3 linked regions of the Coturnix japonica genome follow. The protein of the gene in region 3 purifies or fractionates together with the protein of the main gene of each other region. This does not show direct contact. Links are inferred from orthologs where the notes say so. Each region holds a gene or a part of one and is shown on either strand. Other genes may lie near its edges.

Region 1 (5,530 bases), on a different chromosome or scaffold from region 3:
TCCACGAGGAGATCACTGCAACAGAAGAAAACCTGCAGGTAAGATCTTCTAAGACTTCCCTGTAAGTTCTCAAGAGGATCAGTTTCAGGTAACCCAGCAATGAATCTTGCTACAAAAACATCACTTCTGATTATGTTTCTTTACCACCTAACAGATTTTCAGCTGTGTACTTGGGTCTCTTGGGTAACTGAGACAAGTATTTTTTACTGTAAAGGATTAAGACACATGTTTTAATGGTCAACGGCCTGTGATGTTACAGGAGCCGCAGCAGAGGTGAAACAGACTGGACTAGTTCTGTTTTCACTCTTATCTCCTTTCTTAATGGAACTAAAGGAAAAAAAAAAAAACAGTGGAAAAAACCGATCTGCTTTGGACATACACTGGGCACAGGCATCTTCTTCATCAAGTCATCCAGGATTTTGTACATGTTCATCGATGCGGGATTTGCAGTGGCTTCCTTGGAGAGCAAGTGCCGTGCTTCATCCATTCGGCCTTGCAGTACGAAGATATCCACCTGCAGAAAGCACGTCTGTGAGTACCAAGCTGTGCAGGGCTACCACGCACCCAGGTGGAATATCAGGAGAATCTTCAAGAAAGCCAAGTAGAGTTACAAGATTTCAACTCTAGGCCCTGCTAATTTGAATATACAACCTCTGTGAATCATGAAATTGGATGGTGGTTGAGTCACTGTCCCTGGATGTGTTTAAAAGCCATTTGGATGTGGTGCTCGGGGACATGATTTAGCGGAGGGCTGTTGGGTAGGTAGGGTAGCATGGTTAGGCTGTAGTTGGACTTGATGACCCTTCGGGTCTTTTCCAACCTGAGTGATTCTATGACCTTGACAATGCTTTATCTTAAAACTACAAAGACAGAAGCAGCATCTCAGGTATCAGTTTCTGAGATGTGCTACAGTGCTGAGAAGAGGAATGCGAGACACACAGGCACGACTTCATCTAAACGTCTGACAGGGGGCTGTACTCACCACGTTCCAGAAGAGTTTGTGTTTTGATGGATTTTCGCTGCTCAGAACTTCACGGACCATGTTGTCTACATCACAGATGTGAAGCTGAACCCAGTCAAGGAGACGAAGCAGGAGAGGACCAGCTTTACACAGAGAAGGTATCACTGTTAGTTCCCAAACTGTTTGTCCCCAGGCAGTTAATTTAAGAAGGTTCTTATGCTTTAAGGTCAAATAAACTGGGAACAAGTTTTTGTTTATTATGCTTCTGTGAGAAATAAATAAATAAGCCAGTGTAAAGTAGAATGCATCCTGATATAATTTAATACAAAAAAATGCAATTTACTGAGGCAGAAAAGGTATCAGAATTCGGTGCTGCTTGTCATACACTCCACAGTAAGCATTAAGATGTAGCACCACGCACGCTGTCTACATTTTAAACGATTATTACGCAAACAAGACCACTTTCAGGCTTAACATCAGAACTGTTCACTGCTCACCTGGCGCTGCTTCAACAAACAGAATCTCACACAGATTCCAGATCAGCTCCATGGCAGAGAGAATAGAAACCTGACAAAAAGCAGAGCTGCGTTTCAGGGTCATAATTGTTCCTGTTATTTAATTTTAAGTGCACAGCTGAATGTGCTGCCCACAGAGATGGGTTTTTGTAGACAAGAGAAATGTCACATTGATATTCCAGAGATAATCAAAAGACAGAAACAGGCCATAACTTCTCTATACACATCCATTTTAGAAAATATCGGTGGTTTGTGTATTGAAATGCAACAGTAATCGCTCCTCAGGGAAATGCAGAACAGTGCAGAAAGTGTTAATTGAAGCCTTTTTAATCTCCTGAGAGTTAGAGAGCACAGAAGGAACTAAAGGCAAACTAAGCAACATCAGTGCTGTTCAAACAACAAACTACAGCCACGGTGTTGGTCTTTGTGGCTTTACTAACCAATATTCATGCAACTACGTGGATGTGACTGTACGTTACCTGAATGCTGTACTGGTTGTGCAGGGCAGAGTCCCGGGCTGAAACTGAGCGAAAAATACACCAAGTCAAAAAGCAGCATAAAAAGCAGCATATTTACAGGTACAACAAAACTTTCTGAGCTCATTCATACAGTCCTTGATCGCTCGCTGGGTACAGCCCCAGATGTGTGCACAGCTGATACAGCTCAGCTCACCCTGCAGAACTCTTTATAAATCTGGTATATTTACAGGACAAGGATGTTAAGACACAGTGAGTCCTCTCACTGTTTCAGAGGAGCAAGCTGGTGAATTTGACTCATTTTTCCACAAAACCACAAGTCATGACATGAAAATACTGCAAGTCTTCCCAAAATCAGTTACGAGATGATGAACCAACATGGAAATCTCAATGATGGAAGATGGAATCCTGTTAATTACTGAAGTTTATATGGGCTGTTTTTCAGTAGCTATAGCAACTTCCAAGAGAAATCTTATTTTTATCATCACAAGTAGCATCTTTTTACTGCAGTGCAACAGACTTACTGGCAGCCTGGTGCATGTCCTCCATGCAGGCTCTTATGACCGAGCGGTAGTTTTTACTCACTTGGACTAATCTGCCAAACACAAAAAGGATCGTTTACAGAGAGATACTGCTTCGGTTACGGTCCCTTTTCTGTGCATCCGTGGATGCTTCCAGAACCAGGGTCAGCCTGGTGGGTGCTGCCCGTGCTGTGCAGGGTCCCACGCACTGTTCAGCACCCAAAAGGAGGCTGTTCCGGCCCCACTCACTGCGCGTTCCTCGCCCTGGCAGCCCGCTCCTCCTCGCAGCGCTGCAGCCCCACGAAGATGCCGTGGGACTCGTTGAAAAGCTTCCGCAGCGTCTCCATGTAGATGTCCTGATCCCTGCGCACCACGAACACGCGCGACGGACCCGCCGCTCCGTCCCCGCCGCCCGCAGCGCCGCATCCCGCCGGCCCCGGCCCCGCGCTGCCGCCCCGGCCGAACAGCGTCTCGCACAGCAGCATCTCGGCGGGGCCCCACTCGAAGCACAGCTGAGCTCGGGCCGGGTCGGCGCCCGGCACCACCTGCGGGAAGGGAGAGGAGAGCGGGGGGCGAAGGTAAGGAAAGGGAAGGGAAAGGAAGGGACGGGGACGGGCGGTCCGGCCCTGACCGTCAGCGGCGGCTCCGTCTCGGGCTCCTCCATGGCCACGCCGCGCTCCCGCCCGCGCTGAGGCCCCTGGCGGCTGCCCGCCCCGCTGCCCAACGCCCCGCGGAGCTCCGCAGCGTTACCCGCAGCCGGCAGCCAGCGAGGCTCCCTGCGGGCTGCTCCGCTTCGGGCCCTCGGGACCGACGGGGCTCCGACACTTCGGGGCAGGCGCGGCCGGTCGCCCCGGAAACAGCGCCGGCATTGAAGGCCCCGGCGGGGCGGGACGGGGGAGGACGCGAGGAGGGGAGGGGAGGAGAGGACGGGCCGCTGTAATGGCAGAGCGGGGCGGGGGGGACGCGGCAGGAGCGGAGCGGAGCTGTGTCGTGTCCACCTGTCTGTCCCGCCGTGTCCCGCTGTCCCGCCGTGTCCCGCTGTCCCGCCGCGGTCGCTCTGTAACGGGCAGTAAAAAGGCAGGTGCTGCTCAGCCTGAACCAGCGCTGCTGAGAGGCCCGAGCCCTGGGCAGTGTCTGTTGGTCTCACTGCTCTTATTTTCCTTTTCGTCGTTGTGTTGAAGGATGTTTTGATGTCTGAGGTGAGGGTGTAGGAATGGGACAGTGTCCTCCTGCCTCAGGATCCCATCCAGTGCAAAGACTGAAAAACTACAAGCTGATGTAAAGCTGCAGCTCCTTTCCTGCTTTGTGCTGACGGACACAGCCCCTCTGCTCACTGACTAAAAACGCCAGTAGCTTTTCATGGCTGCAGCTCCTGCTGCCCTTGAGAAAGTGACTTTTGCCGAGGGAAATGACCTTGGCAGAGGTGAAGTTTAGTTTGCAGTGTCTTAGTCCTTCTTGGAAGGTTGGCTGGAGGTCTGCGTGTATCTAGGAGAGAGATGAGCCTGCACTCTGGCTCAGAAAGGCTCTTGTGCCTGACCAGTCTGTAACTGAATCGAATTACAACCAGAATGGCAGCGTGGAAGTACACAGTGTTCAAAAAGACTTGAGAGCTACAGCTCTGGGTTCAGCCAAAAGAACACGACTGTTTTCTGGGGATGGGAGAAAGCAGCAAAACTTTGAGGTCTAATGAGGAAGGGAATAAAGGGTTACAAAATAGAAGGTTGGAAAGTAATTTCATAGCTTGGGAGAAGGCAAGGAGGATAAGCATCGTGAAAGGGGAAGCATGAGACAGGCAATCACCTCGGCAATGCTTTTCTGCTCCTGGTGCTACACTAGTATTAATGAAGAGCAAAATCCGAATAAGCCACTCGCCCCTTCAGGGTTCAGGCTGAGAAGGTGCTGTAGGCTGACTGCCTTAGCAATAGGAATCCCATATATTAGTTTAAGGGCCAGTGTACAAGTTTAGCCAAAGGAATCATTGAGTGCTAGTTCTAAAACTTTCAGTTTGCTTGGTGAGTGAACAGCCTCGTTTTCTCTTAATTGTGCTTCACAGGAATAACAGACTCCTTGTCTTTGCGTTTCACCGGGGCAAGGACGTGTGCCTCAAATTGTCACAGAACTGTTTTGGAAGTTGCTCGTTCTGGCCTAACAAGCAATAGGGGTTTGCAGGTTAGGGAAGAACAGCTACAGGTCAGCCAGAAGTGTCTGTGATGAAGCTAAGGGTGGAAAAATGGGGATAAAGTAAGTGGGCGTGCGACCACTAAATGCAACTGTGCACACACAAAGGAGCATTAACATAAATTAACGCGTTCTTGGAAAAATGAAATGTATGTCTTAACTGCTTAAATGCTGAACCTGAACTCTGAGAGAGCACACGTGTTTGTTAGGTCACCCGTGTTTGTTAAGTCACCTGGTAAGTGTGGTGAGGAATAAAGGAAATAAAGGAACGCTGCTTTCCAGCACCACGCTGGGGTCAGCATTTTCTTCCTGGAATTTGAGTGACAATTTGGATGACAAAGGAGCCTTAGCTGTACTCCCTTGGTTATAGCTCTAGTAACTGCTGTCTTGCCATTTTTGCATTGAACTAATTGTAAAGCAGTAAAGTTTCAAAGGGTCTGGAGTTGCTTTTTAGGCTTGTGCTCACTAATGTGGACTGGCACATACACTCTGCCTGCAGCCGTTTTATCTTAAAAATCTTCATCTCTTGAAGGCTTGGTGTGAAAGGGAATGTGGGTTCAATGCCCAGTTCCCTGCCCTCTTCAGACAAGAGCGGAGAATTAAGCATAAGTGCTCTGCAGGATTTGGATAAGTCACATTTCTGTATAAAACTGCTGTGCAAGAGTAGAACGAGGCACAGAAATATTTGAGAAACGTAGGATTATTTTTTTTTTCCCCAGAGCTGGAATTTCTGTGGAATTTTAGCTGTGGCACTTCCCCATTCACATCTCTTCAAACTCTGTGTGTTAAAAAGGAGGAGCTCAGAGAGAAATAAAGCTTTGCCTTTGCCCCCTCTGCTGCAGCCTGGACTGCAGGAATGGGCCTTTTGTAGTTCCCAGT
Region 2 (4,992 bases), on a different chromosome or scaffold from region 3:
TCTCCTCGCTGAGTGTGCCCACAACCAGCTTCAGTCTCATTCTTGGCAAGAAAAGTGAGGGGCTTTCATCTGAGCCGTGCTTGCACTGATATGCGCTGCTGCTTCCAAAGAGGTTGGTTTTGCACTGCGCTGCATGGAGACGGCCTCCTGTCGGGGTCCACCTGTGCTGATGAGCTCCCATGGGGTGCTGCCCCCCAGGTGCTGTTCCTGCAGCTGCTGCTTGGTGAGGGTGTCAGCTCTGCACATGGAGGGTTCTCACGCAGTGCACTGATCCCACAGGTTGGCTCAGAGGGTGGTGGGCTTCAGAGAAAGTAATTGTTCCAAAATGACACATCACAGAGCTGACAAAACAGCACAGGGATGAAGTCAGCACTGCTTAAATGCCATCGTTGCATACGCTGATTTTACTTTCTAATATTGAAGTTCAGCTCCGGTTTAACTCTGAATTTCCTGGGCTGCAGATGGTCATTCTTAGTAGGGACTTTCACCATGAGCTCGTAGGGTGGATGGGTGGAACGGTGATGAAAGCTTTGGGTGTGGGCTGGGGAGAGCTGGGTGTAGAGCAGAGCAGTGAGGGCACTGTATGCCACACATGGCCCCACACACACTGCCCTGGAACTGCTCCTTCTGCACAGCTCAGGGTCCCTGCATGGTGCAGGCAGGCACCTCATATGAACAACATGCTCAGGGCTCAGTGTGTGCATTTTGCAGTGCACTTGGAACCTCTTCCACACACGTAACAAACTCTGCTTTGCTCTGAGGCTCTGCTGAGCACTGGTGTCTTTTTGACCAGATTAGTGGAAAATAAACTCTGTTTCCTTTATGATTTACAGCTCTCAGAGAAAGACAAACCCTACGTGGACATCCAGGGGCTGACAGCTTCCACCATGGAAATCCTGCTGGATTTTGTGTACACAGAAACTGTTCATGTGACGGTAGAGAACGTCCAGGAGCTGCTCCCAGCAGCATGTCTGCTGCAGCTGAAAGGTAATGCTGGGTGTTGGTGCACACTGCACGGCTGCTGCTCAGCAGAGGTTTGCTGTGTCCACCCATGACAGCAGTGCCTCTGTGCTGTGCTCAGTCTGGGCCTTGGAGCCATAACACCTTGTGTCAAACTCCTCTTGTCCTTTGCACGCTGATCTTGGTGTAGCAGAGCTGCCCCATCTAGAAAAAGAGACACGGGATGGATTCTTTTATCCGTGCTTTGTGCTACTTCATGTCTGCGTGGCAGTGCCTGGGGGGGGGGAGCTGACAGTAATAAGCAAAGCCCTGGTGTCGTTTGGCATTGCCAGGTTAGCGTGGCTGCTCACAGCTGGGCAATCCCATGGCACATCCACTTCTGCTTTAGGAGCTGCAAAGTCAGTGCAGCTCACAGTTACCAGTGTCAGATTTAACCTGGGGGAGGAGGGGGTTAAACACAGCAGGCACAAACAGCACAAGCAGCCGTCCTGCTGCTCAGCATTACTGTGCCCCTCGGAAGAGACATTGCATGTGTGTGCTTGAGTGGTGTTATTCCACTGCTGTTCAGTCAGTCTGTCCTTATTGTTTCCAACTTCCCTGTACTGAAGCCCTTTCCCGAGCAGAGGGCTGACAGGATGTGTTCAGTGCTCATTCACCCCTCCGATTTTCCATAGGTGTGAAACAAGCTTGCTGTGAGTTTCTAGAAAGCCAGCTGGATCCATCAAATTGTTTGGGCATTCGGGATTTTGCTGAGACACACAATTGTGTTGATCTAATGCAAGCTGCAGAGGTCTTCAGCCAGAAACATTTTCCAGAGGTGGTTCAGCATGAAGAGTTTATCCTCTTAAATCAAGAAGAGGTTGAAAAGCTCATCAAGTGTGATGAAATTCAGGTAAAACCTGAACGTACCATTACTCTGCAAAGCATTGGACGTAAAGCATTGAAAGCTGTTGGAAACCAGCCCGTAGTGCTCAGGAGGGACTCACCCATCCTTCCCCAGCTGGGAGTTCGCTTTCCAGGAAGGTTCTCCTCATTCCTTTGGCCCCATAACCTCAAACCAATGGGTGATGTGCAGGCTGTGTGTCTGAGCGTGTTGTCTCGGGGCTGCACATCACTACCTCCATGTTCCCTCTCCTCCCCCTCTCCCCGGAGGAGGTTGCAGCCATGCGTTGTCTCGGTGCCCACGTTGCAGAAACGCCCACAGGACTTTAACTTGTTTGCAGACCGTTGTGGTGTTACTCAGCAGCACGAGCAGTGCATGTGTCGTTCCCAGCATGCAGCCCTTCTGCTTGCACAGGGTGCAGAGCGGGGCTGCTAGACACTGCTTCAGGCGGTTACATGAAGGTGTTTCTGCCTCTGAATTTTGGTACGGACTGTGTTCACTCAGAGCTGGATTCTGGAGGTGTTACTGCATGGCTGGGAACCGTCTGATCCTGTTTGGTTTTTTACCCAAGTTTTCTCTGAGTGTGTATTTAGTTGGGAACTGAAATAAGGTGAATATTGCCTGAGAATAGGAAGGGGGCAGTTCTGTGTTGTTAAGCTGGACTTCAACAAGAGATGGTGTTTGCTTCAGCCCTAAAAGAAGTGATGGAGTCGTTACTCAGAGCTCACAGCAGTGTGAGCTCCTTGGAGCAGGTTGTGTCATTGGTACCTCCTGAGTTCCTCAGAGCCCCTCGAAGGGGTGACCAGAGGAGAGATGTGGATGTGTGCTTTGAAAGGCTGCAGCAGAAGTGGCCTTTGGCCAAGCTGATGTCATTAACAAACCTTGGAAAGGAGCACGCAGGGCGGCAGTGAGGGCTGCATGCAGGTGGTGCTCAGAGCAGGGGAGGGCTGAGGGCGCTGGGTGATCACAGCAGTGTCCTTAGTGCTGAGGTTTGATCTGGGTGGGTTGTGGTGAGAGCTTCTGGGCAGCCAGGGATCCCAGGGCTGGGAATGCTTTGTGTTGGAAGGGATCGTCCCCCAATCCCTTCCACCTCCTACACCACCTGCCCAGCAGCACTGATGGGGATGGAGCATCCCCTGCTCCTCCAGACTGTGTGTTTTGCTGCCTCACCTCTCTTGTGGTGAAGAATTTCACTGCAATTACACCTAATCTAAACCCGCTCTCTTTTAATTTAAAACTATCACCTGCAGGCCCAATAAAAAGGTCTCTCCTCATCTTTTTTGATGAGCTCTCTTTAATTATTGAAAGGCTGCTGTGAGGTTGCCCTTCCCCACGTGGAAGGAGCACAGCCCCTCAGCCCATCCCTGCAGGAGGTGCTTTGTCCTCTGAGTGTCACTGTGGGCTCTGGGCCCTCCATGTCCTCATGCTCAAGGAGCCCAAAGAGCGGGGCAGAGGGGCAGAACCTGCTCCCACACTGCCTGCTGGGCTCCTGTCAGTGCAGCCCTGGCTGTGATGCTGCTGCCTGGTTTCTCACCCACAGCAGACTCCCATCTGTGCTCTCCAGCTGCTGCTGGGCACAGAGCTGTCCGTTTAGCCACAGGCTGCTGCTCTCCTGTCTGAGCAGTGTGTCCCTCTTCCTGCAGGTGGACTCAGAAGAACCTGTATTTGAGGCTGTTATAAACTGGGTGAAGCACTCAAAGAAGGACCGGGAGGCGTCGCTGCCGGAGCTGCTGCAGTATGTGCGAATGCCGCTCCTCACCCCGCGCTACATCACAGACGTTATCGACACCGAGGTATGGGTAGAAGCAAACCAAGATGTGGATGATGAGATCTTTAAGCTTTTGCAATGGAAGTTTTAATTTCAAACAATCAATGCTGATCCAGTGCAAGGTTTGGCAGCAGGGCACTGTGAATTCGGCCTTGGTGTGGTGCAGCAGCACATGGTATTGAACACCCACAGGGAACTGGATGTGGAGCTGCAGCGGGGGGTTGGCCCAGGCCCAGCTGGGGAACAAGGAGGACATGAGGCAATGCTTAGGGCTGCTGTGCCCACAGCTGCTTCTGGAGGAGACTTCCCTGTTCTGAGTTCCGCCCATAGCAGGGTGTTCCATACAGAGCAGCGCAGTTTGGGCTTTGCTCCATGCTGTGTCTCTGGCAGTCACATATTGAGCTGACGCTGTGGGGCAGACCCAGCCAGGCCCACTCAGCCTTTGCTCCCTCCTCAATTGGGTTTCCACTGGCTAACATGTAGCAGAATCCTATTTTCCTCAGTTTTCCAGTGTAGGGTATTTTATCCTGTAATCTGCAGTGCCACGAGAGATGAGCTGTATGAGAACAGTCCCATGGCATCTCTGGGGGGATCTTAGCACAGACCACTGGTATCAGTGACTGCTGTCTTTCTGCAGCCGTTCATCCGATGCAGTCTGCAGTGCAGAGACCTCGTCGATGAAGCAAAGAAATTCCATCTCCGTCCTGAGCTCCGGAGCCAGATGCAGGGACCCAGGACCAGAGCCCGTCTGGGTGAGTGGTGTGGAGGTGCCGGGAGTAGCTGTGGGACCTGCAGGAGCTGTGTGTGCCATGCAGTGCTGTGGTGCTCTGCAACAAAGACTTCTTGATCTGCAGTGCACAGTGGCATAGAAGGGGGACAGCAGTGCAGGACAGGGTGGCTTGTTAACGAGTGGCAGCACAGGGAGTAGCTGGTTGCCCTGCTCCTGTGTTGGTGCTCCCAGATGGGTTTGTCTGAGCATGCAGCCGTCCCAGGAGTGTGGGCAGAGTTTCTAAAAGGTGGTTATCAGTGTCAGAAATTCACAGGGTGAGGTGAGAGATGGCAGCACTGGAGGGAAGATGGAATGGGGAACGTGGGAGGGTGAAGGGCAGCTGGGAGGTGGGCAGGTTGGTTTGTTGAGAGGCATGGTGAGTAATTTCTGTCCTGAAGGCAGTGCGGTGTGCTTCGACCTCCAACATAGTCCACCCACAGCACAGCTCCTGTTTTTCCAGGAACACCCCACATCAGTGCTCAGGGACATCCACTTCAGCTCAAGCCACCATTTACAGAGAGGCATTGTGCTCTGTTCTGGGTCGAAATGCCTCAGCTGATAAAGGGAATGTCACAAATTCACATCATTATCCAGGTGAAAATTGTGCGCTTT
Region 3 (4,114 bases):
AGAGAGTGGGGTATTTGTTCTGTGCTGTGATATTTCTGGGAATGCAGTCTGACGTGCGTTTAGATTCCTTGGAAACATGGTGTGCTTGTAAGATAAGAGCTGACAAAAACGTGAAAACCGCATACATCTGTTGCTGAGTTCCTGTCTACGCATAATGAAGTTGTGCAGGGAATCGTGTGTTTCTTGTTTTATTTTTCTGCTGTGGCATTAACATCATTCCTTCTAAAAACTAGTGCCTGTAATGGCTATTTTTTTGAAAGTCCTGAGCCCTTCCACTGTTATCTGGTGTGCTGTAACAGAAAAGAAGTGGAACTGTATTCCTGGCCTACAGTAACAGCCGTGTCTCGTGTTTGCCCCTAAGTGTGCTTCCTCTTGTCTACGTTCTCTCCTGGGTTCTGTTCTATCAAATTTTGTTCTTTGCTGAAGGACTGAAAACAAAGATGTGTCCTAGAAACATCATTTCTGTTACTTTGAAAATGAAATAATGCACCTTGAAGATGTCAGTGAATAGTTGCAGCGATGTCTGGGGCTCTAGAAAGCATCCTGTGAGGATATTCTTCAAACCCTCAGGAACAGAAGGAACGAAGTGGGAACATACAGTAAAGGATGACAAATTTACACCTGTTACTTGTGTTCTAGCTAGACTTGAATGATGCGGCTGATCTGTGGGATTTCTTCTGTGCTACAGCTCACAAATCTTCAGTGGTAGGATTGAGGGTCGTAGGGCAGCTGAGAACAAATGCCCTCTGCAACAGAGCTATGTTAAGAAGTTCTGGTAGAATTAGATCACCATCTTGACTTTTGTCTGAGAGCCTGCTGGTAGAGAACACCAAGGAGCACAAAGAAAGTAGGCAGTGGATAATAATAAGAACCACTGGAGAGCTTCTGGGTCCTAACAGAAGTCCCCTGCATTGTCATGGTATACTGTGGACTCTGGCTAGACTTGGCACTTATTAGCCCTTACGAAGCTAAATACCATACATGAGAGCCACACTAAGGCATCTGTCAAGGTAGACTACAGAAAACCCCAATAAGGCCCCCTGTGAAAGATTTCCAAATACAGCACACCAGACTTTAACCAATAAGACTTTATTTTATTGTCTAAACAAAAACCTGAGGTACAGTATAGAATTGTGGCTAAAAAAAAAAAGTCTTCAAATTGTATTTTCATTTGTTGATGTTCTTTAAATAAACAAGTTTGAGATTAGCGTAAAGCAAAATAGATATGCATTCTGCTACTCTTTTTCATCTTTGGGAATGCACTGAGATTTTCATGTATCTGAGCATATTACTTTCAGGGAAACCCACACACCATTTCAGTACTACCAGAACACTGGCTACTGCTGACTCCACCAGCCTGCTCCATCACTTGAAGTAGTTTTGGCCTTTGAGTGGCCAGATGGGTTACACAGATGGTTTCACACACGAGCACTTTCATTGCCTGCCTCCTCCTGTTCCTGCTCAAGTGCTTGAAGTGTATCCAATTAAATCTAACTCCTAAACTAGAAGGCAGGTTACAGTTTTTACTGTGTTAGGGAGTAGCACAAGGCACAATACTTTGCTCCTCTCTTCATCTTTAATTTAAGGGAATGTCAAGTAAGGCTGATTTTCTACACAATGTAGCCCCCCAGTATTGTTTAAGATTGCTCATAGAATTGGCTAATTATTTCCCATGTTCACGTCCAGCTTGGATAAAACCAGTTCTCATCTGATTCAAGAAACATTGCAAATCAGGTATAGCCATCACTTCCAGCAGCTGGACTGGTCAGTCCTCATCACTGCTCATTCTGCTGCCCTTCTGTAATGGCAGACACTCCTCCTTGGCCCTTGTTGACATCGCTGATGCATGCCCACAACCCATCTACTGACTCCTTCCACAGCGTGACCTCAAAAACAGAGCAGGAAAAGATGTTAAGTCTTACACATTCTCAGTTTCTCATTTTCTTTGTAATGATTGCATCACTAAGATGGTAATGGTCTATAAGTATAGCAGTGTGTCAGAGTTCTTTCAAGCATCAAATTATTTATTGCTGTTTGCTAAATCATTATCCAGCAATAAAGGGAGTAAGAATTAATTCCAATGGTAATATCCTTACAAAATAAAATTAAGCCTACATTTCCAATCAGGACTAAGAATGCAGTGCATGTAGTTTGCCAGAGGTTGGAGTCTTCCTCCCCTTTAGGTAAATAAATAAATAACCACAAAAAAACACCACTGCATCAAAGGGAAGTCTTTAAAAGTCTTAACTCAAAACAACAAAAGTGAAAATATGACATGCAAGAGCAAACTGAGGCTGCAGTACTCACTTTATTGTCTCCTCCAGACACTGCGAGTATATTTGCAGTAATGGACCAACTCACATGCCAAACAACATCATTGAACTTGTGCAGCAATTTTGGTGACCATGAATTTCCAGAGGCATCATCACACGTCCAGATAAACACTCTGCCATCCTATAACAACAAACAGAATTGGCTACCATGAGTTAGTAATACAAAAACCAAGCTTGTCTGCATTGCCAATGATGACTGCACTTACACAGGCATGAACTCTAAATGTGTCTATTTGCATATTCACTGTACATGACGGTCTTTTTCCTTTCTATAGCCAAAAGCAAGGCGTAAGTACAGCTCACTCCTACCTAAGTCTCACCTGTGAACAGCTAGCAATAGTACTTGTTGGCAAGCCTATGGATGGAGCCCAGGCTACATCTCGGACCCAGTCACTGTGTGCCTCCAGCTTCTGCTCTTCTTTCCACTGACCATCTTCTTCTCTGAAAACATATTTACACAGATAAGATTAAGCAGATCTCACACGAATTGCTATGAGAGTTTCTAAGACATTAAGTTGTTTCTATTTTTAAAGTGCTTTTCTAAAATAGTAAAAGATAGTTAAAGATGAAAGCATATAGATGCCTGAAGTATAATTCAAGGTGCTAATACAGACATTCAGAAACCATAAAGAATGAAGTTCTTAAGCCTGGTAAGAGAGCACTTACTTCCAGATCTTGACAAGGTTGTCACAACCACCAGATGCAAATCTTTTGATATAGTTTGGTTTCTGACCAGACGGTTGCTCTATGAGGCTGCCTGGTACAACAGCAGGAGCCCAGCTAACTGCATTACATCCGATCTATGCAAGGAAAAAATAAGGTCATTACTAAAAGCTGTGGAGGGAGCAAAGGACATCTATGCTGGATGGATAAGAACTCCAAACATTGTTCTATTCTTGACTGGACATTTATTCAGGAAGTGTTATGTAGCCAAGTAACTGTCTTACAGGCAAATATCATTTTGGAAATGTATACAGTGGAGATAGATTAAAAAAAAAAAAAGCAGAGGTGCAAGATGTATGCTGTTGCTAAGAGTGAGGAATGCAGAAAGAATCTGTGTGCCCACAGCTCCGTTTTCTTTTAATGCAAGCCACCATCATTATCTGCTTAGATGGCTGTCAAGTTTTGTTTAAACAAGAAGTCCCACTGCTGTGGGAAAACCACGAGTTTTTCCCTGCAGTTTTTCCAGCTTCTTGTTGAAGTTTACTCACAGCCAGGTTGTACGAGGTATTCTGAGTATCAAAGCCATTTCCCACTATGTCACTTCCAGCACTGTGTTTAACAGTCATGATCAGATGTACTATCAGTGCTCTTTAATGGCTTTCACCTCTTATTTTCTACTTCACTTCACTTACTATAAAACATACTTTCTTACTTTAGATTTATTTAAAACAAGTTATTTTTCGGTTTTGGAGAACAATTCACAATATTTAATTGTATTTCAGTATTTATTTAGTCTGCACACTCTGAAGCATCAGCTCAATCCTCATCCATGGCTCCAACTTACAGTGTGTGCGTTGCTGATCTTTTTCACCTCCCACTGCCCATCACCAGTGTAGCTCAGTAATGAAATGGCGCCATCAGAGCTCCCACAGGCCAAGATCAGTCCATAGTCATGTGGTGCCCAGCAGACAGAATTCACTGTGAGGGATGAGACAGACTGGGTTACAACACAGTGCTAAAACTGCTTAACCCAATCACTGACTAGTACCAGTGAATGGTCACTAAAAGCGAGCAGCTTTGCAAGCTAAGAAGAGTCTTTGCATTCCTGAATTTCAGCA

Evidence for each region. Proteins that work in one complex are often made in the same cells at the same time.
Region 1: the proteins of SEC13 (region 3) and NUP85 purify together in Homo sapiens (affinity purification with mass spectrometry; 5 studies listed by BioGRID and IntAct, counting the BioPlex papers as one, with this or other methods). This does not show direct contact. The link is inferred for Coturnix japonica from reciprocal best matches to the Homo sapiens genes SEC13 and NUP85.
Region 2: the proteins of SEC13 (region 3) and KLHL12 purify together in Homo sapiens (affinity purification with mass spectrometry; 3 studies listed by BioGRID and IntAct, with this or other methods). This does not show direct contact. The link is inferred for Coturnix japonica from reciprocal best matches to the Homo sapiens genes SEC13 and KLHL12.

What each region holds. Positions count from the first base shown.
Region 1 is NC_029533.1:9,353,860-9,359,389, reverse strand, and holds the start of NUP85 (nuclear pore complex protein Nup85), read right to left. Parts: upstream 3,237-5,530; 5' UTR 3,138-3,236; coding exon 3,105-3,137; intron 3,019-3,104; coding exon 2,723-3,018; intron 2,548-2,722; coding exon 2,477-2,547; intron 2,000-2,476; coding exon 1,956-1,999; intron 1,529-1,955; coding exon 1,459-1,528; intron 1,265-1,458; exon of another isoform or gene 1,105-1,264; coding exon 983-1,104; exon of another isoform or gene 515-982; coding exon 380-514; exon of another isoform or gene 1-379. UniProt on the Homo sapiens protein: Essential component of the nuclear pore complex (NPC) that seems to be required for NPC assembly and maintenance. As part of the NPC Nup107-160 subcomplex plays a role in RNA export and in tethering NUP96/Nup98 and NUP153 to the nucleus.
Region 2 is NC_029541.1:898,935-903,926, forward strand, and holds part of KLHL12 (kelch-like protein 12), read left to right. Parts: intron 1-833; coding exon 834-987; intron 988-1,634; coding exon 1,635-1,852; intron 1,853-3,486; coding exon 3,487-3,636; intron 3,637-4,248; coding exon 4,249-4,363; intron 4,364-4,992. UniProt on the Homo sapiens protein: Substrate-specific adapter of a BCR (BTB-CUL3-RBX1) E3 ubiquitin ligase complex that acts as a negative regulator of Wnt signaling pathway and ER-Golgi transport.
Region 3 is NC_029527.1:16,778,848-16,782,961, forward strand, and holds the end of SEC13 (protein SEC13 homolog), read right to left. Parts: intron 3,975-4,114; coding exon 3,841-3,974; intron 3,134-3,840; coding exon 3,000-3,133; intron 2,775-2,999; coding exon 2,654-2,774; intron 2,455-2,653; coding exon 2,308-2,454; intron 1,887-2,307; coding exon 1,776-1,886; 3' UTR 1,074-1,775; downstream 1-1,073. UniProt on the Homo sapiens protein: Functions as a component of the nuclear pore complex (NPC) and the COPII coat. At the endoplasmic reticulum, SEC13 is involved in the biogenesis of COPII-coated vesicles.